2 linked regions of the Lytechinus pictus genome follow. The protein of the gene in region 2 purifies or fractionates together with the protein of the main gene of each other region. This does not show direct contact. Links are inferred from orthologs where the notes say so. Each region holds a gene or a part of one and is shown on either strand. Other genes may lie near its edges.

What was found.
Region 1: the proteins of myotubularin-related protein 9-like (region 2) and ATPase inhibitor A, mitochondrial-like purify together in Homo sapiens (affinity purification with mass spectrometry; 5 studies listed by BioGRID and IntAct, with this or other methods). This does not show direct contact. The link is inferred for Lytechinus pictus from reciprocal best matches to the Homo sapiens genes MTMR9 and ATP5IF1.

Annotation. Positions count from the first base shown.
Region 1 is NC_087245.1:28,597,915-28,609,473, reverse strand, and holds the start of ATPase inhibitor A, mitochondrial-like, read left to right. Parts: upstream 1-6,992; 5' UTR 6,993-7,071; coding exon 7,072-7,127; intron 7,128-11,525; coding exon 11,526-11,559.
Region 2 is NC_087253.1:7,994,061-8,005,251, reverse strand, and holds the start of myotubularin-related protein 9-like, read right to left. Parts: upstream 4,523-11,191; 5' UTR 4,508-4,522; coding exon 4,492-4,507; intron 2,542-4,491; exon of another isoform or gene 2,198-2,541; coding exon of another isoform or gene 2,182-2,197; intron 1-2,181. UniProt on the Homo sapiens protein: Acts as an adapter for myotubularin-related phosphatases. Increases lipid phosphatase MTMR6 catalytic activity, specifically towards phosphatidylinositol 3,5-bisphosphate and MTMR6 binding affinity for phosphorylated phosphatidylinositols.

The sequences.
Region 1 (11,559 bases), on a different chromosome or scaffold from region 2:
AAGGAAAGTGTGCAGGGGTCAATGCAATGTTTGTGAAGTTTTTTTATGAATTCAGAAAGAGAGGGAGAGGGAGGGAGAGAGAAAGAAAGAGAGAGGGAGAGAAAGAAAGAAATTTAAAAAAAGAAAGGAAGGAAGAAAGGAAGGATGAAAGATAGATAGATTGATTGGTTGATTGATTGATTGATTGATTGAAAAGTGTAATAGTTCTAAATGTATTGGTGTAATTTGTTATGGTGCAATCATGTAGACTACATACATTATGTAGAAAGATATTTGCAGGACATGCCATGCTCAGAAGAGTCAAACCATATGTTGATGAAGCATCTATGAAATTATTATATTTATGTCTCTTGCATTCAAACACAAATTGGATAACTGTTGTGAAATTTGGGGGAATAGATATTTAGGTCAAATTGATAAGTTGACTAATATAAGTTGCAAAAGAGAGCAGCGGCGAGACTCGTTTTAAACTAAAATATATACCCCTCTAATGAATATTTGCTCATATAAGATTAATGCCTTTTAAGAAAAGAATAGTAGGTGAATATTTATTTATAAATGTCTTAATGACTTATCAGCAGATTGTTTAAAAAATGTACTTGTCTAAAGTTCATAATTTAAATACTCGACAAAGTTAATGCGCTACAAGCGCAGGGGACTGTTGGACTGACGCTTGTCGGGGAAATGACAAATTTTTGGGTCACGTACGCAGGGTGCTATTCGAAGTGTTCCATGTACCTTGTTCTTACTCGGTCTTTGTGTCAGCAAAAATGTTTGGTCGTTTTCCATACATTCCTCCTATTTCAGAAATTCCAGGGGTGCTGCCTATGGAAAATAAATAATACATGCAGCACCCCCTAGGAAAATCTTGGGGGAGTGCTTCAGCAGCACCCCCTTTTTCCCAGCCTGAGGGCCTTGTCGCGCGACTGGGACTCCTGCCGATGACTCTTAATTTATTTCTTTTCTTTTAAGTTTTCTATAGGTTAAATGTGATTAGTTAAGCAAAATAAGAACCCATAAAAACCTAGATCTCTTCCCAATCACCGATTTTGGATTTACATACTGCACCAACAAATATTAATCGTTTTCGTTATCGATTTTTGAACAGGTTACTTCATATGTAAGGAGGCGGTTATTGCGCTTGGATGCAAACTAACATTACCAGACCCCATATTTAGTAAAACATTTTACATTATCAACGATATTATTAATACCCAGGACCAAAATCCAGTTGAAACCAATTAGAGCAAAACCAATTGAAACCAGTTGGCCAACTGGTTTCAATAGGGAAATTGGAACAACTGGAACCAATTGAAACCAGTTGCCAACTGGTTCCAGTTAAAACCAATTGGGCAACTGGAACCAGTTGGCAATTGGTTTCAATTGGTTCCAGTTGAAAACAATTAAGCAACCAGTTGGCAACTGGTTTCAATTGGTTCCAGTTGTTCCAATTTCCCTATTAAAACCAGTTGAAACCAATTGGAGGCAACTGGTTTCAACTGGAACCAATTGAAACTAATTGGTTTCCTACTGGATCCAATTGGAACTTCCAGTTGGAATGACTTAATTAGTTACAAATTAATTAGATTTTGCAAAACCTATTGCTCATGCCAACAAAGAAGCAGTGCTAGATGTCTATAATACCAATGTAAAGGGCATTGATAAATAAACTCTCATAATGTATATATTTTTACATGAAAGATCTTCAAATATATGTATTTGTATTTGATGTAATTTGGTAACAGTTAGTGGTGTACTAATTATCTTAAAATCTGTTTTAATTATAATCTATACCATTTATGAACATGGTTTTCACTGCTAAGCATTCTAAACACTTATCTGAAACAAGTATGGTACTTGAAATAGAAAAGAATTAAATAGATACATTTTAAATGATGATGAATCACATAAAACATTAATCTGTGCACACTGGCAGATAATATGCAAATTAACTGGTTTCAATTGGAACCAGTTGGGTAACTGGAAAATTTCCAATTGGAAACCAATTGGAAGTCATTTCCAGTTACCCAACTGGATCCAGTTAGGATTTCCAGTTACCAACTGGTTCCAGTTAGGATTTCCAGTTACCCAACTGGTTCCAGTTAGGATTTCCAGTTACCCAACTGGTTCCAGACTTTAGAAATCATTTCCAGTTGGAAGTAATTTCCAGTTACCCAACTGGTTCCAGTTAGGATTTCCAGTTACCCAACTGGTTCCAGTTAGACATCATTTCCAGTTGGAAGTCATTTCCAGTTACCCAACTGGTTCCAGTTAGGATTTCCAGTTACCCAACTGGTTCCAGTTAGAAATCATTTCCAGTTGGAAGTCATTTCCAGTTACCCAACTGGTTCCAGTTAGGATTTCCAGTTGCCCAACGGGTTCCAGTTAGGATTTCCAGTTGCCCAACTGGTTTCAATTGGTTTCAACTGGAAATTGTTATATTCCAGTTAAAACCAATTGAAACCAGTTGAAACCAATTGAAACCAATTGAAACCAGTTGGAAATCCAACTGGTTTCAATTGGATTTTGGTCCTGGGTAGTTTCTTAACTTATTCTGATGATCTCATTTGTGACATTGTTTTTTTTTTTTTTTTAACTCCCTCCGGCCCTCCAAGTCACTCACGGCTTTTTCAAGTTTACACTAGATTTAACTGGACTTAGAAATTACGCTTTCAGCGAATCAGTGACTGTATGGAATATATTAAAAAAATCATGAATTATAATGCTCTTCAAAATATTTGCCGGGGAAAAGCAAATTCTGTAATTCGGAACAACATGTGAGCCATAATATACTTGGCATCTTCATTCAACGCTTTTATCACATAGATACGATATCATATCACAGAGATACGATCTTACGTATACGTAAGCTCCCGAAGGGAGCTAGAGAGGGAACTCTTTCCGCGCGTTTTTATTTCCCATAGGTTTTGTACATAGCCAACATGGCTGCCGGCGGACAATTTGAAGGATGATTTTGGAGGGTCAATGTTTTATTCATGAGAATGACGTCAAAATACGCATAATGCACTTGTATGATTGGATTAAACGCTAATGTTTTATTCATGTACTCATGCATTAAACATTTTTTTCCGTCCCACAATTCCCTACGATATCTGTGCGAAGTGTCGTTCTTTTGGACTCTGCGAATTTGAAGTTTCTGAAACGAAATAGCTAGACTAATTATCTGTTTATATAATTGATGTTCGAAATCATGGTTTCTGAGTGAACTTCATTGGAGCGGAAAATCTTGGAGGGAACATCAATACTATTCTAATGACATTCCATAGGAATAAAAGTAAGTTACGCTCATTTTCATGTTTTGATCTCACTTGCAAATTGTAATGTGTTTGCCGGGGTTCGGGGCTCATCCTGTATTACGCACTACGGTATGTAAACCTCAATTTCAATATATTTCTTTTGCCTGACTTCCAAATAAGTGTGATCATTGAGTTTCTCAAAAATACTATATCTAGGACTAGGGGTCTATAGTTTGTCGTAGATCTAGACATTCATCGGAATGCTTCATGTAGGTCCAAAGTAAACATTTATTTTAGTTTTATTGTGATTAGACAATTATCAGGGGTAGATGTGGACTTGTTTCCGACCTCCTGTTTTTTAGTAACGACAAACTGTCGATTTTAGGCCTATTCAAATTTAGGTCAATGTAGGGATATGGTCAGAGCGGGATCCGGCCTTTGATATCGCCGGTGCTAGCCGAGCGAGATTGTCGATGTAGTCATGGGGTATGAAAATAGCGGGGACGGACTAGGCCCAAACTTCAAGCTTGAAAGTTGAAGTTTAGGCCTAGTCCGTCCCCTCTATTTCATCTTCATATGAATAAGTATAATTCTCAGCAGTTTCTTTTATTCAGGAACGCTTTACTTCAGAATAATCAGTGTTGAAATACGATTGACTTAGCATTAATGTCTGTTATGTTAAGTGTTACTTGTCTTAGTCTTAGATTTGAATGAAATGGCGTAGCCTACCCTAGACCTAAATCAAGTCTATTTGAACAGGATACCCTGGGTCCGGCCTGGGGTGGTAATTTGAAAACGTTCTTAGTGTTTACTTCATTCAAATGTGATGTTATTCTTAAGTTATACAGGCCCAGCATAGACCAGATTCAGCTATATACAGCTGTAGAAATATGTGGTTGGAATCATTTTACTTTTATAAACAGAGTGAGGTAGGCCTATGCCTCTATGTGATAGAGAATGAAGTTTCGGGTCCAGATAACTTTTTTGTTCTAGTTTGGAATATTCATTCATAGACCTGGGATATGGGCAGCTGGAAATTTCAAAAATATTGTTTAAGAAGGGTAATTTTATTATCTCTAAAACTCTCAAATTTAAATTGTCAATTGCAGATCCAGTGGGACCAAGTTCTTAGCAGTTCACACCTAGTCAGAAGTACAAAATTGAGAACCATGCCGATTAGCAAGTGTTAGTTACAATCTAATGAGGAACAGGATATCTGAATGGAAAAATTGCAAGGTATGCTTACTGTTTTGATAATATACAGGCTGTATCTAAGCTCATCACCCCCCCCCCCCCCAAAAAAAAATAAATAAATAAATAAATAAATAAATGAATATTTCCCCTTTTTTGGGAGGGGGTGGGCTATGGCCAATTGTGCTGAAACATGATGCGATATCATGTAATGTTAAAGTTCCATTGTGAGTTAATATTTGTTTGAATTCAGATTCACCAGTATTTCCATTTCTAACACTGCATACTAATTATCCATATCTCCTGTCTATACATGCATTTGCATAAAAAACCCAAGATATTAACAGTTATCACAAAATTCTGATAAATATTTGAATTAATTTTCACTCTTTATTTTCAAAACATACTGTAGATAGTTATATTGATATATGAATTTATCTGGATGTGGGACGAAAGTGACTGCATGTGCTAAACTTGTTTTATCACTGAAGATATAAAATAGAGTTTACATCTTTTTTTTACTAAACTGGACTAGATGAGTAAAAATAATTTACAGCTTATTATGTTCTTTTCTCTTTTTTACCATGCAGGTTTCCCACTTCCTAAGCTGTTTAAGTACTGGTATCACAACATAAGTGCCAAGAAGAGATATGAAACGGTCTCAAAATTTTTGCTGGTGCCCCCCCGATGCCGTGACCTACGGTACGCCACTGCAAGTCTTCATAAATTATTTAGTTGCATTTATTGTTATCTTCATTTTAAAAAAATGTGAAATGGGCTACCACTGCAATAATATATAAATAGACTATATTTTAAAAATAGATTGAATTCTAAGCACAGTGACAGTAGACAAATCAAATTTTGTTAATGATTCACTAATGTATTGATTGGGGAAGGCACTCTTTAGGATTCTGGCATTGTGTCCCACCCCCCCCCCCCCTTATGAGGAGTGCTCTCACATCAGAAGACTATTTCTTGTCAGCAAATTTGAAAGGAATTTACCAATTTTTTTGAGTGATAAACTTTTGTGGAAGAAAATAAACGAATATCAAAGGTTTTTATGCTCTTTTATGGAATATTAACTATAGGCTCATCGAGATCCTTTGAATGAAATTTTAACAAACATTGTACAATGTAGAAAAATGTACTTAATCCTATTTTTGTACATTTATATACCCACCCCATACTACCCTTACCCAGTAACAGCCCTTTTTAGCTATGCATTGCCTTCATTTTTTAAAATACAATTTAATGCTTGGTAGATGCTAATTATTATTTTTATGTTAATGTCAATGTTTTAGAAAATGGATCCCTTAATAAACATGTTAATTTTGAATTGAATTTTTTGATCTTGGTAATTTTCATTTATCAATTAATTGTGATGATGTATTGCTTCTGAGCTGTTATGCACAAATGGCACAAGATGTTGCACTGTACTGGAATGTGATGATGCCACTGTTACATGAGATCAAACAGCAGTCAATTAAAATATTATTTAAGAAAAATAAGGATAAGAGTGGGAAAGAAAGTAAAATGACAGGATAATTATTTGCTTGTATGCATATAGCTATGTCAGTTTCTGAGAGAGAGACATACAGAAAGAGAGAGAGATGGGGGGGGGGTGAAAGTTCAGTTTGTTTTGAAAGAAGCAATTATAAGACCTTACTGTTCGTAACGGGGGGGGGGGGGGGCTAATTATTTCTCCAAATTTTTGAAACCTGCATATAAAATGTATTTTTTCTTTCCAAATGAAAATTACACCAGATTCATTTTCAGTTGAAAATAAAAAAGAAATAGCCTACGATCGGTTTGCTCTCTTGCCTATTTAATTTTGAGAACCCCCTCCCCCCTAAAATATAGTATATACCTAGGTCATGATTATTGATGTTTGACATAGAAGTCGCCATTTAAAATTAAGTGCTCCGAGGACTGCTATTCATAATAGGACTTATATTGGAGACTACAATTATGGAAAAGAATTTGATTTGTTATTATCTTTGTTTATATTATGAAAAGAGGTTCATTTCGTTTTCTGCAATAAAAAGAAAAAAGGGCTCCAGAAACTTAAAGAGATTTCATCGTATATGGCAACATTTTCTTTGGGAACCTCCTCTGTAATATTTTTTAGCAAAGATCCTGGCCATTTGCAGCTAAAACAAAGCAAAGATGCAGTAATAATCGTAACAAGCAATAACAAATAGATCATTAAAATAGATGAATAATAAAACTCTGAGGAGGAAAAAAACGAATGATCTGACATGATGTAATCACTGACAGACACCATAAACGATATTAATCAGGTCGCGCATTATGCTAATTAGTGACAAAATACTAATTTACATATTTTTACGCTATGCGCGAAGGACGTTCCGTGACCACGCCTTCATTTCGCTGGTGTACCAAAACAGTGGCGGTGTCCATAGGCTTGTATACGAAAAATGGGAGCAGTGTGCACTTTTGACCCTCCAAAATTTTCTTCAATTCTGACCGGATGCAGAAGCGGAGTTTCACCCCCCTGTATCATATCTGGTATAGCGCCATCTTCAGCTTGAATCGGAAAAGTCCGAATTGAGAAAGAAAAATTATTCGACCATTTTTTGTTGGGACTATCTTGTAAACTGCAATGGCTTTAGCTCGTACATCTTTCCTAAAAGCTTGGCGACCAGTAATAGCAGTCAGGTTTGTATCTATTGTAGTTAACATGTAACGGTATTTGCAATTTTAACCAAGAATTAACCTCTCTGGCTATGTTTTCGTGCGTGTGTCCTGGATGATCATGATGTCGTCATGTTAATTGCTAAATCTAGTCCCATGTGCAGATATCTGAGTAATGTTTGGTTCTACTTATTTTCCGAAAAAAGTTTAACATTTCTCGAACAGAATGCCAGCATGTTGCATGTATTTGATTTTTTCAAACTTGGTGATTTGGAAGTCTATAAATAATAATGAGTAGCTAGAGCATCAAGGATGGCATATGATAGACAGCTGGCAGCTCCGCAGCTGTCTGTTTCAAGGAGTTTTTAACATTTTTATTTTTTTAATTCTCGTAGTCGTAGACGTACATGTAGTCGTACGTGTACAGTCACAGACTCTGACAGCTTGCAATCGTGCAACCGTCATCCGCCATGAGGGGGTTAACAATGCAAAATCCTACAGACCGGGCTTATCGATTTTTGTCTTTATTTCATAAAAATATATATAAAGAACTGGACCTAAATAAAGATTAGTATTTGGCCTATTCCGTTTTGGCCTTGAAAGTGAATTGCACCGAAACGGGAAAAAATAAACTTAATAAAAGAAAAAACAGTGACTTACTAAAAGAAAAAACAGTGACTTACTTTTGCTGTCCCCTAAATGAAATACGGGATGATCAACAAAGCACGATGCATGAGCGGATCGAAAAGAAGGCTACACAATGTTAGAAAATTTAAAAGAAAAGGTAGGGATATTGAAAGAAAGAATGAAGGAGAGAAAGAAAAGAGATGAATTGAGAGGGAAAAAAAATAAAAGGAAGAAAGTTAGACTGAAAGAAGGATGAAAGAAAGAATAAAAATGAGAGAAAAAAGGTTTCTGTCATTCTTCGAAATGAACAAAGAAAGAAAGAAAAAGAAAGGAAGGGAAGATGAGTGAAAGAAAAAATAAAGGAGAGAAAAGGAAAAAGTAAGTAAGAAAAAGGAATGAAGGAAAGAAAAAATGTTTCCTTCATTCTTTGAAAGAAAGAAAGAAAAACAGGAAGGAAGGAAAAGAAAGAAAGAATAGGGAAAAGAATTAGAAGGAAAAAATAAAATAAAGAATTAATTTAAAGGATTAAAAAGAGGGAAGAAAGAATGAAGGGAGGAGAGAATGAAAAAAGACAGAAAATAATGGAAGCAGAAAAAGAATGAAAAGAAGAGGAAGGGAGAAGGAAGGAAAAACAAATGTAAGGAAAGAAAGAATGAAAGAAATAAAAAAGGAAATTAGAAAAAAGGAAAGTAAGAGAAAGAAGGAAAGAAAGATAAATGAACAGAGGGATAGAAAGGATCAGGAAAGAAAGATTGAAAATAAAGATAGATGGAACAAAAAAGGCAAGCAGGAAGGATAGAAGGATGAAGAAAGAAGGATAGAAAAGAAAGAAAAAAAGAAAGGAAGGAAGGAAGGAAAAACCTTCAAACTTCAAGCAATCAAAAGATCTAATCATCTAACAAAAATCTTAATTATATTGGGTTTTTTAAATACATGTATATTTCAAACATTGTTAGAAAGCTAAAATGTTTTAGAAATGAATAAAATTTCAAATTAAACATTGTCAAACTTAAAAAATTAGATGAAACATCGCGGCATCACACACAGGCATCTCTCATTCAATTACAAGATCACAACAATACTCAAACGAAAGCTGAAACAACTAGATCTAGTTATGAAAACTCAACTTGCTCCTCCGATTACATCACTAAATATTAAAGTAATCTGAGAATCCATAATATAATTATAAAGATTTCCTGCTGATTTGTGATTATTTTGGTGGAAAAACTGTTTATCATGTGAGATTGTTTGCACCATTGAGAATCTGCTCCATTGATCGTACGCCTAGCTAGTAGCCTGCCACACAAAGGCAGGAGGCTACATGCAGACTTGTGTAGCAAGAAAATCACCGCAGAACATGCGAAAGTTTACAGTAATCAATTTTGTTGTCTCTGCTTAGTCATCTGTTGGTTATTTGCCAGTTATTTTATGAAAATTTTGTCACTTTCTATGTATTAATTATGTTTCGTTCAATATTCAGAAATACGGGACAAATAGGCGTCCCGGGAAGGGTTTATTGGGACGCCAGGACAAAGCAAAATACGGGACGATCCCGGGAAATAAGGGACGTCTGGCTGTCGCGCAACTCCCACTTCCTTGGTTTATCTGAACTTAATACATAAACATATGGCCATTGAGTCCCACTACAGTTCGAGTAGAACTTCGGTCTATGTAATTGGTGAGTGGAGCCAACAGAGTTCAGCGGAACAACCAATATAACAGAAGGCCGAAGATTTTGGTATAAGGATGACAATGCAATGACCCTTGAAAATAATTTTTTTTATTTTTAAACCAGAATTCAAAATCAGATCGTAGCCTGTATCGTTAGGCTACAGTAGGGACGTCTGCACCTGGAATTTCGACATGTGCCTCCAATCAACATGGCAAAGTTATTTCACAAGTTATGTATATACACGACACTATCACTCACCACTTGAAAGTTCTGCTTTCAACTCTAAAATCCCCTCTGACAAGTCAAAATTCATCATTAAAAATGTGGAATCTTAGCCATATTTCCAGAGCATGCGGCAGCTTAGTCAGGGTCACAGAAAACCGCACTAAGATTGAAGAAATCTGTTGTGTCATTCCGAGTTTGTGAATATTCTCGCAAATTTAAGATCGTATCTTCCAACAAGGCCGTCTTTCAACATGGGGTCTGAGCCTGATTTGGGAGCAAATGGCCGCTGCAACTTCATGTTGCATACTGTATGTGGTGAGGCGCATTGCACGGACGCTCTCACACATTGACTTTTGAACCCGCAATGTGCTATGCTGAACGAAGGGCAGGAGCTGTCAAATTGTGGCCACAAAACATGACAATACATATCCAGATCTCATTAAATATTAAGGTGTAAGGTGAAAATAAACATTGCAATTAAAATTTGACAAATTATATTCAACAAATATTGTTGCAAATTTCATTTATGAAAAGATGCTTTAGAACAAAAAATATTGCAGAAAAGCTTAACATGTTGAATTGTAGGCAGGTTACTCTAGATCTAGACCCTAGTTCTGTTTTCAAGTTCGTGATCAAATAAGGTGATTTAATTAATCAAAGACCCTCTAACTTTCAAGTATGTTGGGGGACTTATTACAGACTACCAGTTCTGCAAATATTAACATGATCAGGCATTCTGTGAGAAAACCACTTTTGAAGTAGGCTGTGAAGCTCACATGTATTGAGGATATTTATGTATTTCTTATTTGGCACAATTCCACTTAAAGATTAAATGCAAGCCTCAAGATCGGATTTAATTTGAAAACTAATTGCAGCTTAATGTAGAACAAAATAGGATTTGCAATAATCAGCTTGAAGTCACGATCTATGTTGAAATTACCCACAATTAAATGTGGATGTAAACTCTCTATTATTAAGGAATATTGAACACTTTCAGTTGAGGTGCTAGTCCAGAAACTGAGATTGGCCTTGTTTATGAGGACATTTTTTTTTCACTTCCCCTGCGGGACATAGACGGCAATTGCAGGGATTGAGAGTGCTAAAAATAGATCCATTCACCAACAAATCAGGTCCCCCCAGATCACCGTCTATTTTTTATGACTTGGACATCTTCCAATAATCTTGATAGGAAACCTCATGTGTTTATCTGACTAGCACACTCAAGTGATGTCGGCACTTGACAGGTGAATGAACTATTTGAAAGATTTCTTGTGTGGAGAAATCCTTGAATACTGGAGTGATCCTTATTTCTGACCAGCACCTCTACTATATTTATCATTTTTATGAACTTCAGATTGTCATGAATGACCTGACTGACAAGTTATTTAAAAATCAGCAATCCTTCAAATTTACTGACGACTAATACTGCAACACATGATCAGGCATTCTCTCTCAGGAAATCAATTTGCTGCAAAGCTCTTGTCTGTTGAATATGCTTCTTTGGGGCATTATACCTATTTTTGAATAATTTTAAAGTCAAATAATATATGGTTATGACTTCAATCAAATTTAGCTGAAAGCAGATCACAAATATAACTTTTAATCATTAGCTTAAAGTCACATGTTTTAGAATTGAAATGACAAATAATTGAAAAAAGTTGATGTGAACACACTTTAATGCTGTATGATTTAAGAAAATGTACCAGTTTATTGTTTTCTAGAATTTCAGCTGTATTTTCAAAGTCTCTTCCAACAATACAAGCTACTTATGATGTAATATCAGCCCGGAAGATATCAGTGTGCATCGTTATCTGGTGAATTTGAGAATGAAGAAATGGGTTGATATATTATTTAAAAATAGATGCCAAATAAGCTTTCTATTTTCTTTTCTATTTCAGTCAAGTCAGAATGTCAGGTGAATACGGATCTGGA
Region 2 (11,191 bases):
ATCTACGTATCCATGGCATCCGACCAGAAGACATATGCTGTTAATCTACTGAGTGACTGCCTCAAGGACATCAAGGTCTGGTCAGCGAAGAACAGACTCCGTCTCAACGAAGCCAAATCAGAACTGGTACATCTTTCTTCGCAATTTAGAGCTACGGAGCCTCTGCCAGACTTCAATATGGGAGAGGGCATACTTAAGATGTCTGACTCTGTCAAAGACCTTGGTGTCACTTTAGACAAGCACCTTACCCTCCAGCCACATATCAGGAACATCTGCAAATCAGCATCATGGGGTTTATTTAGGATTGGTAAGGTCAGGCGACTACTCGACCAAGCCTCTACTGAAAAACTCATTCATGCCTTCGTCTCATCCCATCTAGACTATTGCAACTCCCTCTTTGCCGGCCTCCCAATTTCTTCCATCTCTCCCCTCCAGCGAATCCTCAACACTGCAGCGAGAATGGTAACCTTGAGCAAGAAACACGAACACATCACCCCTATTCTCCGATCACTTCATTGGCTTCCGGTTCACTCTCGCATAACGTTCAAAATTCTACTCATTGTATACAAAATTACCCATAATATGTCACCCAAATATCTCCAAGACCTTATTTCCCTTCGTTCTTCCTCATCTGTCAGATCCTTACGTTCATCATATTCCAATAATTTAATTCATGGCCCTCGCACTAAGACCCGATATGGTGATCGTGCATTTTCTGTAATTGCTCCCACCCTCTGGAATAAACTCCCAATTCATATCCAAAATGCTCCCTCCGTAGAAATTTTCAAATCGTCACTTAAAGCTCACCTTTTCTCATAACTTAACTTTTTTTTTTTTTTTTTTTTTTTTTTTTTTTTTTTTTTTTTTTTTTTTTTGACCGATTGACTGTATACTATTATAATCTGCCAACCTGTGCGCTTTGAAACACCAGTATAAAGCGCCCTACAAATGTTATTATTATTATTATTATTATTATTTGGGAGCCGTATGAGCTGAATATGATATCTCTACCGTTAGTGATTTATGTAACAATTGGCTGTCCATACTTAAACCACAACTTTAAACCCGACTTCAGAATACGGGCCAGAGGATCCAGATCGAAGACAAGATATGAAAGTGAAAAATGCAGAATGTACGGAAGAAGGGACTTGAAGGCAGTGAACAAAGTAAAGAGGATAAAAGAGAAGAGGCAAGGGGAATGTCCTACGGGAAAGAATTATTGGAGGAATAAGAGTGTGTGAATAAGCAGGTAAAACTGGGCCCCGTCTTACAAAGAGTTACGATTGATCCAATCAATCGTAACTCTATGGAAATCCATCAGTGTCATAATTTTTTCTACAGGAAATTTGCAAAATGTCCTTTGTAAACAAAGGAGATCATACCAAATTGTCAAGATATCAATGAATTTATGGATATACATTCATATCTATAATTTTTTTTTGAACAAACATGCATTTTATATGTTGACTTTGCTGGCTTTCCATAGTTGCGATTGATCGGATCAATTGCAACTCTTTGTAAGACGGGGCCCTGGTCTATCCCCAATAACAAGTAACACTACTTCACATTCAAGCATTCAAGGAATTTCTCCCTAATAGGCACCCATTAATACACCTGGGTGGAGAGTGGCAAACACCTTGCCAAAGGACGGGAGTGCTGCATTGAAATCGAACCCCGGACCTTCTTGTTCAAAGTCTGGAGAGTTATCCACTGAGCTACAACACCTCATTAGTGCTGCGGCAGTGATTTGAACAATTGATACAGAGAAAAAACCCTCTCAAAACTAATTCCGCATAATACATAGCAAGCGTTGTAAGCACTTTCTTCTTCACAAACAAGCACAGAAGAAATTATCATGGATAATGTTTTATAGATGTGATTCTATTCTATACGTCTGGACAAAAAGACATCAAGTTTGCCTTAAAAATAAGTATACATGTAATTTGATTTTTTTTTTAAAGGTCTTCAGGCTGAAAAAAATACTGCAAAACAATTGTTAATTTCATGTACATGTACATTACAATAAAGTAAGTACTTTAAAATATACAAACAATATATAGAAATCACCTACCTATTTTTCCCCAAAAAAAACCAAAGCACTACATAATGTTGCAATAACCCCCCACCCCAACCCCAACAAACAAACATAGGCATGATGTCAAAATAACAACAGATACTCACTAAATGTAGGCTCCATTGCTACAGTTTATTATTTAAGAACGTTTATAAGATCTTCTTCGAATTTAACACAATCCAAAAACAACATCTGGAAACAGTGTTAGTCTGACATTAAACACAGTGTCTTTGATCAAAAGCAGGAAAGAGTGCACAGCAATTATACAAACAATGCATAACGCTGGCCAAGCTGTCATCTAGAAAGATAATAATTCCAGACCCAAGTAAAATATGAAGGTGCTGAAAACAAGCTCTTGTAAACTAATGAAGAGGAGGAGGCACTAGAAATAGAAAGTATCAGGAACAATCATGGGTGATTGATGCTACAATCATTGTCTGTATACTATTCGGGCCGTGACTGGGTCTATTTCTAGCAAGGATTTGTGATGACTAGAAATGTTGGTTAATTTCTCGCTTCCTGGGGGCAAAGAAACAGACTGGAAGAGGGAGAGAGGAAAATCATTGTTAGCTATTTATGACTAACGCCTCCACATGGATAGAAAACCCCATCACCACAGGGTAATAGTAACTAATATTACATTGTACCTCCAAAAAAAAAATTCTACATGAAACGGGCAAGGGAGGGAGATCATCAATGTAAGCCAAAATGACTAAACGCTATTTATAACTAATGCCTCCGTAGATATATACATGTATGTAGACACCCTATTGTCACAGGGTATTATATTACTGTACAATACTAAAAATAAATAATAGAAAAATACACTGAAAGTGAAAGTGAATACATAGGCTACAGTATGTAAATATTACTGGCATATTTCTCATTTAATTTGGATTTTCCTGGCAGTGGGGGTAATTGTGTTTTTGCTCTCAAAGGTTGCAGATTTGCAGATGACTTGCTAATGCTGAATTCAAGGAATCACAATAAAAAGGCGCTTTGCCTTTTACTTTAATATTCTTATAATGTAAAAATCAATATTGATGTTTCCTCAAAAATACACTACTGCTGTACAATACACCAATTAGTCTGATCATAGATGACTGAAGACTCAGTTTAAATTTAATTTTGTCTTTGTATTTGAAATTTGAAATGTCACTGAATCTCACTCCTACAATGCACCTACCCCCCCCCCCCCTGAAAAAAAATAAAAAAATTTAATAAAAAGAACAAATCAAATCAAAATACAAACAGGGCAATTCCAGATAATATGTACATCCGACCCCCAATGGGACCTTCATGAAGTTTTCTGTCTCTGATTTTTTGTTCTTTTGATAGTCTGTAATTTCTCAAAGGACCATGACTTGGGCAGTTTATAAAGTGAAGAAAGACTAAAAAAAATGGGAGTCCAACATACAAAATTAAGGTTGATAATATATGGAATTGCTCGATAGCTCTGAAATCTATGCCACAGATCATTGTTCATTATTAATCTTAATTACAAAAAAAAGACTAAAACCCTTTTTGCATGTGTTGTGTACCATGTATTCACAGAGTTATCAGTGGCATACAGATGGGGGGGGGGAGGGGCTCTTGCCCCTCTCCCCAATTTTTTTCATGATCAAGAAAACAAAGAGAAAAGGAAAGAAAAGAAAAAAAGAGAAGGATGAAATGTGATATTTTCTGAATATCACAAAATTTAATTTTTGCAATCAAAATATTAAAATTTTTGCTAGCTTGCTTTGCTCGCTCCCAACTTTTTATAAATTTGGTGCGATACGTCATATCTAGCCCCCTCAAAACTTTTGGCTCATCACACCACTGCAAGTTCTTATGTCATCTGATATTCTGACGAAAAGGAACTTCATGCACACAATTAAATGTTGGCATACTTAATGTCATGCCTCGTGTGACATTTATTATGTAGCATGAATGCACTGTAGGCCCCTGTACACTATGGAGCCTACATGTAATATTCATTCAATAAAAGTTGACGACCGTGTCATATAATTACCCAGTATGAATTTCCTATCTGGCATCGAATCCCATGCATCACACGACATGTGACATTAAACCTCCCTAAGGATGAAACAACAGGTGATCCAACAATATGGATGGATGGATGGATGAGTATGGATGCATTTTATCGATTCAAGAACAAAACTTGTTCAATAAGGGAGAAAAGGCAAAAGCAAACAATCATAAAAAAACAATAATGATAACTACATGTATACATATGAAATCCATCAAAATCAAAGAAAATATATCAATCCTTAACAAAATGAGATCAGGTGAAGATGAAATTTCTTAATTCTCATCACAGACAAGGTAGCTTCTTCAGGCTGCTAAACATAAATATTGAGACCACATAAAACAAACTGAGATAAAATTTTTACAAAAATCCTTATTCGACTGACCTTTTTCATTGTCCATTCCTAACCATATTGCACAAACATCCCATATTTTGACCGTCAAACACGGTCTCCTCTACGATAAAAAGATAGAATCCCTATAATTCAAGAAGGAGGCTTGATGTTAATGTGTGCACAGTCTGCAAGACAAGCCTCCCGAGGGCAGTGTGTTTAGACGGTTTACTCATGGTGCAGCAGATCATGTTTACAGGGAGTGTTCAGACAGCTGGCAATTATAGATTTATGTACATACACGCAAGTGATGATTAATTTTAATCATCTTCATTTGTCTTCATTCCAACAGTGTAGTTCAGAATAAACTCCCAACTCCCTGCTGGTTACATTTACATACATGTACATGTGTCAATATGTCTAAAGCACCTGTGGAAAGGTGATTGTGTTCAGACAGTGTCATAGAGGTTGAGAGATGATGATTAAATCAGTTTCAACAGTTCATCCATGTAATGAGCTAATTGTACGAGAAGAGGTCGAGAGATGATAATCAAAAATGTTTAGACAGTTTACACATGGAATTAAAATCTTTAAGTGAGAATCTCAATTTGGGTGATTTATAAAAATGGGTAGGGCACATGCATTGACAAAAAAATCTACAAATGTGATTTGTACATGTATGTTGGATGTACAAAGTTACCAGTGACCTTATTTTTTTCTTTGAATCTGTGGATTACATGGGGGAAATTGAAATCTAGAATCAAAGAAAATGTACAGTCTTTATCAGTAAAGTTTCTGGCTTCTTTTCAACTATACAGTGCATGGATGCATTTTACTCAGGGTTGTTGATTTTTTTTTTTTTTTTTTTTTAAATAAAAAAAAATCAGATTTTTTTTTTATTTAAATCGGATTTTTATGATTTAAATCAGATTTTTTTTTTTTTTTTCCAACGAAAAATAATGGTCACACTTAACAAGTTTTAAACTATATTTAAACTGTTTTACACCAATAATAGTGGTCAAGTAGTCTTTTGAACATTGTGTATTGTACTATTTGACACAATAATCCACTTTATTATATACAGGTTATTTTTTATTTTTTTTACTTTTTTGGAGTGCTTCTCTAAATGATAACACTTTAAAGCATTTTTTGCTCTGTTTCATTTCTATATTCCCATAGACATGTTAGCATACACGTGAGAACATGCAACTCAGATTTTTAAAACTGAACACAATGTTAACCAATGCCTTTAAGTCATTGTAAAGCTTTATCATATAAGACTTGTTTCCACAGAAATAGGGTTTGCAACTCTAGAGCTACATCTGGTATACAAAGCATTCGCAAGTCACAACTGTACGTTAACATCTAATTTGAATGTAATATTTAACCAGATTTGCAATAGGCACTTCCTGATATGCTTGTAACAAAATACACATTTTATGTTTTCATTACAGTGTAACCTCAGTTCCAAATAATACTTCAATAAATTTCGTTGCAAGATGCAGGATAAGCACCACTGTCCACCACATCATTGATGTGCTGTTTTTTTTTCAAACTATTACATGAACAAGCAAGCACAGCAGTTGTATTGCTGCATACAGTAACACTTGCCAAGCAACTTTCCCATTTTTAAATTCTTACTTATTAAGTATACATGTGTACTTTGAAATTGTGTAATTGAATGTATGGGTATTGATAAGAAAATACACAAGCATGCAAATATACATGTAATTCTTATCAAATGTACACATATGCCTTCAACTTATTATTGAAAGAATGGGTATTAATAGTAACAAGAAGGAGGTACATACAAGTAGTTCAGCTGTTTTGTAAAAGTATCCAAGTTGTGGACTTTGACCACCTTTGTAGATTTTATATATTATTTTATTGAAGATTAAATTTTTTGGTGTACATACAGAGAGTTATTTATCATTACTTCGTTAGAAACTTGTTGTTTTCATCAGTTTTGCTTGTTTTACAATTTGAAAATAAAACAGTGGTGTTAAATCAGACTCCATGAGGGTGTATCATTCTTTTAAAGTATCTCTAAAGCATGTGGAACAGAAATGAAAATGATTACATTGAAAGTATCTGTTTCATATATATATATACAATAGAGAAAAAAAATTTTCATAAAAGTTGATTTTAATCAGTGATTGTTTTGAAAAAAAATCAACTGATTTAAATCGCGATTTAAATCATGATTTAAATCGACATGATTTAAATCAAACAACCCTGTTACTTGAAGAGGGGCTGGGAGTATAGCAAAGTTTCACAATTATTTGTAGATAAATGTATAAATTACACTCTTTCTTAAAGATTAACCAGTCGTTTTAATTGCTGTGATAACATTGATGGAATAAGTTATCCTTGTAGGCTATGGAGGGAAAATAATCCCTTTTTTATTTAGCCCCCGCCCCCTATGATCTCGGCCGTCAATCACGCGATCACGACAAAAATTGGCACGCGGGTAACCCATGACATACATGTAATCTACAAAACTATATGATCAAATTCCCCATAACACTCTTCCATCTTCCACAGAACAAGTACCGATACTCAATCCATCAAATCATTTTAAAAATAAACAAAAAAAACACAGAAAAGAATCAATGGATCCAGACATGAAACAGAGCCAACAATAGAATGATCATCAATGAGCCAGAGAAATACACCATGTTCCAGGGTGAAAGGTCAAAATAAATCATTCATTGTACCTAAAGGATGAGTCAAAATCAATATAAAGGATAAAATCAATATTAACGTCTTTCTCCAACATAGCATTCAAATGATTGCATGTAGACAGACATACTGTAGAGGCCGTTCTCATTACGCTTTCTAAAACTAGTTTACTTGAAACCGATTCAGGAAACCACTTTGGAAGATCGCTTTGCTAGCGTTCCCACTTGATCACACGAAAGTGGTTTTCAAAATCACTTCACGTAAAGCGCTGTTGTTGCTATGGAAACGCTCTCAGTGGGGTGACAAGTTTCGCGCGAAATTCGAAACCGCAGCATGCATGTAGGCATTCTACACCTGTCGTGTGGAGTAGCGTGCTCCAAATGTGCGAAGATTGCTTCCCGAAGAACGGTTGTGTCCTCACTTACGCTATTAAAAAAACCAGTTTAACGAGGCAAAGCAATCTTGAAAACTACATCGCGAGGTGGTTTTCCAAACTGGTTTGGAAGATCGCTTCCAAGACCGCTTCGACCGTTCTCACTACGCGTTAAACTAGTTTCCACTAAACTAGTTTCCAGTAAACTAGTTTTAGGAACGTAGTGAGAACAGCCTCATACATGCACTGATCATGGCCTTCATTATTCTAGCACTGGGGAAAATAGTTCTCAAGTGCTTTCTGTGTTTTTCCCCCTCCCGTACTTCCTATTCAAAACTCTTATTATTATTTTACAGTATTATCTCCATCATTTTGTTTTAAATATAAAATATTATTCATTCAAAAATAGGAATCTTCCTTTTAATGTATTCAAGGTTGTAAGTGACTGAGCATTTGATTTCTCAGGGAAAGTTCATTCATTTCTATAAAAGTCTTTGAAAGTTTATTCTTTCATTTTCAATTGATGATTCAACAAAATAAGACAAAAAATTATTCATAGAATGCATAAATTATTTAAAAGTTTTGGTTAGAATTATATATACACATTTTCCTTTAAAAATTACAACTGATAGTGACATTTGTAGTTTGATTGGGTCGAAGAAAACATGGTCCTCATACATGTATACTGGCCAGTGTTTACGCATTGGAATAAAAAAGAAATTTCAGATTTATTTCCAACAGAAATGACATAAATATTGATACAAATCATTTTCATACATTTATAACAAATATTTACGATACAAATCATTGTCATTAGAATTATATCCAAAAACATCAATGATAATTAACATACAATATATAAAATATGGTGCATTTTGTAGACAAATTATAATATATAATCTAAATAGCAAAAATGGTATCTGTGGAAATGGGAGATTCACTCAAAAGCATAGCTTGTATAATGTGAACCTCCCTCAAGGAAGAGAAATTATGGGTTGGTCTGAACATGTAATGGTATATCAGCAGCAGCTATTTTTATTATAATTTAATCAACATATTACAGCACTGATCTGAACAGAAACATCTTTTACACTCGTTACACAGGACTGGTCTGAACACCTACCTGTACCTATATTATCAGCTGTTGCTTACACATTATATTCAAATCAATATCATTTTCACTAAAAAATAACACTGGTCTGAACACGTCTTTCTGCTAATTATACAGCATCAGCTGTAGCATACAATTATGTATGCAGGGCAGTAGGGCACTTGTCTGAACATTGCTTATATCATCGTCCTGTATTTTTATTTTAAAAATCAATCTTTAAAACGTACCTACATGTACATATACATGTACGTACATGTACACTGCTTGTCACTGAACAGGATCTAGGTTTAAACACATCCCTATTGCCACAGCATCAGCTTGTGTTTACACACTGATATTAAATCAATGTTCTTTCCCTTAAGTACACATGTCACAGCTGGCTCTCTCTCATTATTATTTAGGGCTTAATAATCAATCAAAAATACCTAATGCTGCAGTCACATTTCCTCTATGGCGGCCGTACGGCAAGTAAAAAATGCCCCCCCCCCCTTGACAGTTTGATAAAGTGGTCAACGTTAGATGTTTGAATATGAGCATCTTTAAAGGTCAAGTCCACCCCAGAAAATTGTTGATTTGAATCGATAGAGAAAAATCAAACAAACATAACGCTGCAAATTTCATCGAAATCGGATGTAAAATAAGAAAGTTATGACATTTTAAAGAGAAATTCCAGTATTTGCAGTAAACACTGATTTCATGAGAAAGTCTGTAAAACAAGGCTTAATTGTCAGTATATCATCGAGGATCTAGATCTGGTACAGTTACATAAACTGAACTTTGTGAAATCTTGAAATCTACGCTGAAAAATGTTCACACTGAAGATCACCAACACAGATAGGCACACGTGGGACAGTGTATTATTATTGCTAAAATAAAGACCCGACGGAAGTGACCGAATCCGCGCTTATTTTGCTTATTTCTCAGCAATTACACAATTTCTTCCAGAATCCTTTGGCACATATTTTTTATTCATACAAACAGACACTTAGGTGGTCATTATATTAGATTCTGTAAAAAGTCATTTTTAGATCGTTACCAAAACTGGAATTTATCTTTAAGTTTCGCTTATTTTTCACAAAACAGTTAAATGCACAAATCAGTGATATGCAAATGAGAGAGTCGATTATGTCCATCACTCACTATTTCTTTTGTTTTTTATTGTTTGAATAATACAATATTTCAATTTTTACAGATTTGACAAGAAGGACCAACTTAACTTAACCATAAACTGTTAAAACAATGGCTAAAATGGTTCAAACATGTTCAGGGAGAAATGAAACTTCGTTTCACTTGACAAGGAGGAGAAAATTAGAATATTTCATATAATAAAATACAAAAGAAATAGTGAGTGGGTGACGTCATCAGTCTGCCATAACTTTCTTATTTTACATCCGATTTTTATGAAATTTTCAGAGTTTTGCTTGTTGGATTTTCTCCTTTTTTTTCAAATCAACTTTTTGTTGGGGTGGACTTGTCCTTTAATAGGTCTCCTCTTTATAATAGAGTAACCTGCTCGAAATTTTCATCAATTATCGAATATATTTTAATTGCAATGTTTATAATTATTTTCACCTGTTACCTCAATATTTCATAAAATCTTCAAATGTACCGCCATGTTTAGCGGCCTACATGTAGTCCCACCACCATCCGACAGCCTCTGCCCTTCATTAGACATAGCATATTGCACATTCAACAGTTAATGTGTGCTAGAGCTGCTAAATTGTGCCCAATCACAAAATTCCAATTGAAACCCATTGAACACTCACTGAATTTTCAAGTGGCTTTAATATGGATCCTACCGATTTAAAATTTGGATTCAATTTGTCTCAACTTTAAAGGACAAGTCCACCCTAACAAAACCTTGATTTGAATAAAAACAGAAAAATCTAACAAGCATAACACTGAACATTTCATCAAAATCGGATGTAAAATAAGAAAGTTATGACATTTTAAAGTTTCGCTTAATTTCACAAAACAGTTATATGCACATCCTGGTCGGTATGCAAATGAGAAGACTGATGATGTCATCCACTCACTATTTCTTTTGTATTTCGTTATGTGAAATATGAAATATTCTAATTTGCTCCTCAGTGTCAAGTGAAACAATGATATATTCCTCCCTGAACATGTGGAATTAGCATTGTTTAATATTATATAGTTCAGTCAACTTGGTCCGTATTGTCAAATTTGTAAAAAATGAAATATTGTATAATTCAAACAATGAAAAACAAAATGAATAGTGAGTGATGGACATCATTGACTGTCTCATTTGCATGTCACTGAGTTTTGCATATCACTGTTTTGTGAAAAATAAGCGAAACTTTAAAATGTCATAACTTTCTTATTTTACATCAAATTTTGATGAAAATTTCAGCGTTATGCTAGTTTGATTTTTCTCTATTTATTCAAATCAACATTTTTCTGGGGTGGACTTGACCTTTAATAGTAGGCACTTCAGGTGAAAATTAGGAAAGGCTGTTCCAGCATGTTTTATATGCTTACAATGAGGCTCAATATCTGCAATTCACAAAACTGATTGAATTTTCAAATTCTGACTTCTAGAAGTCGAGTTATTGTCATCTTTGTGA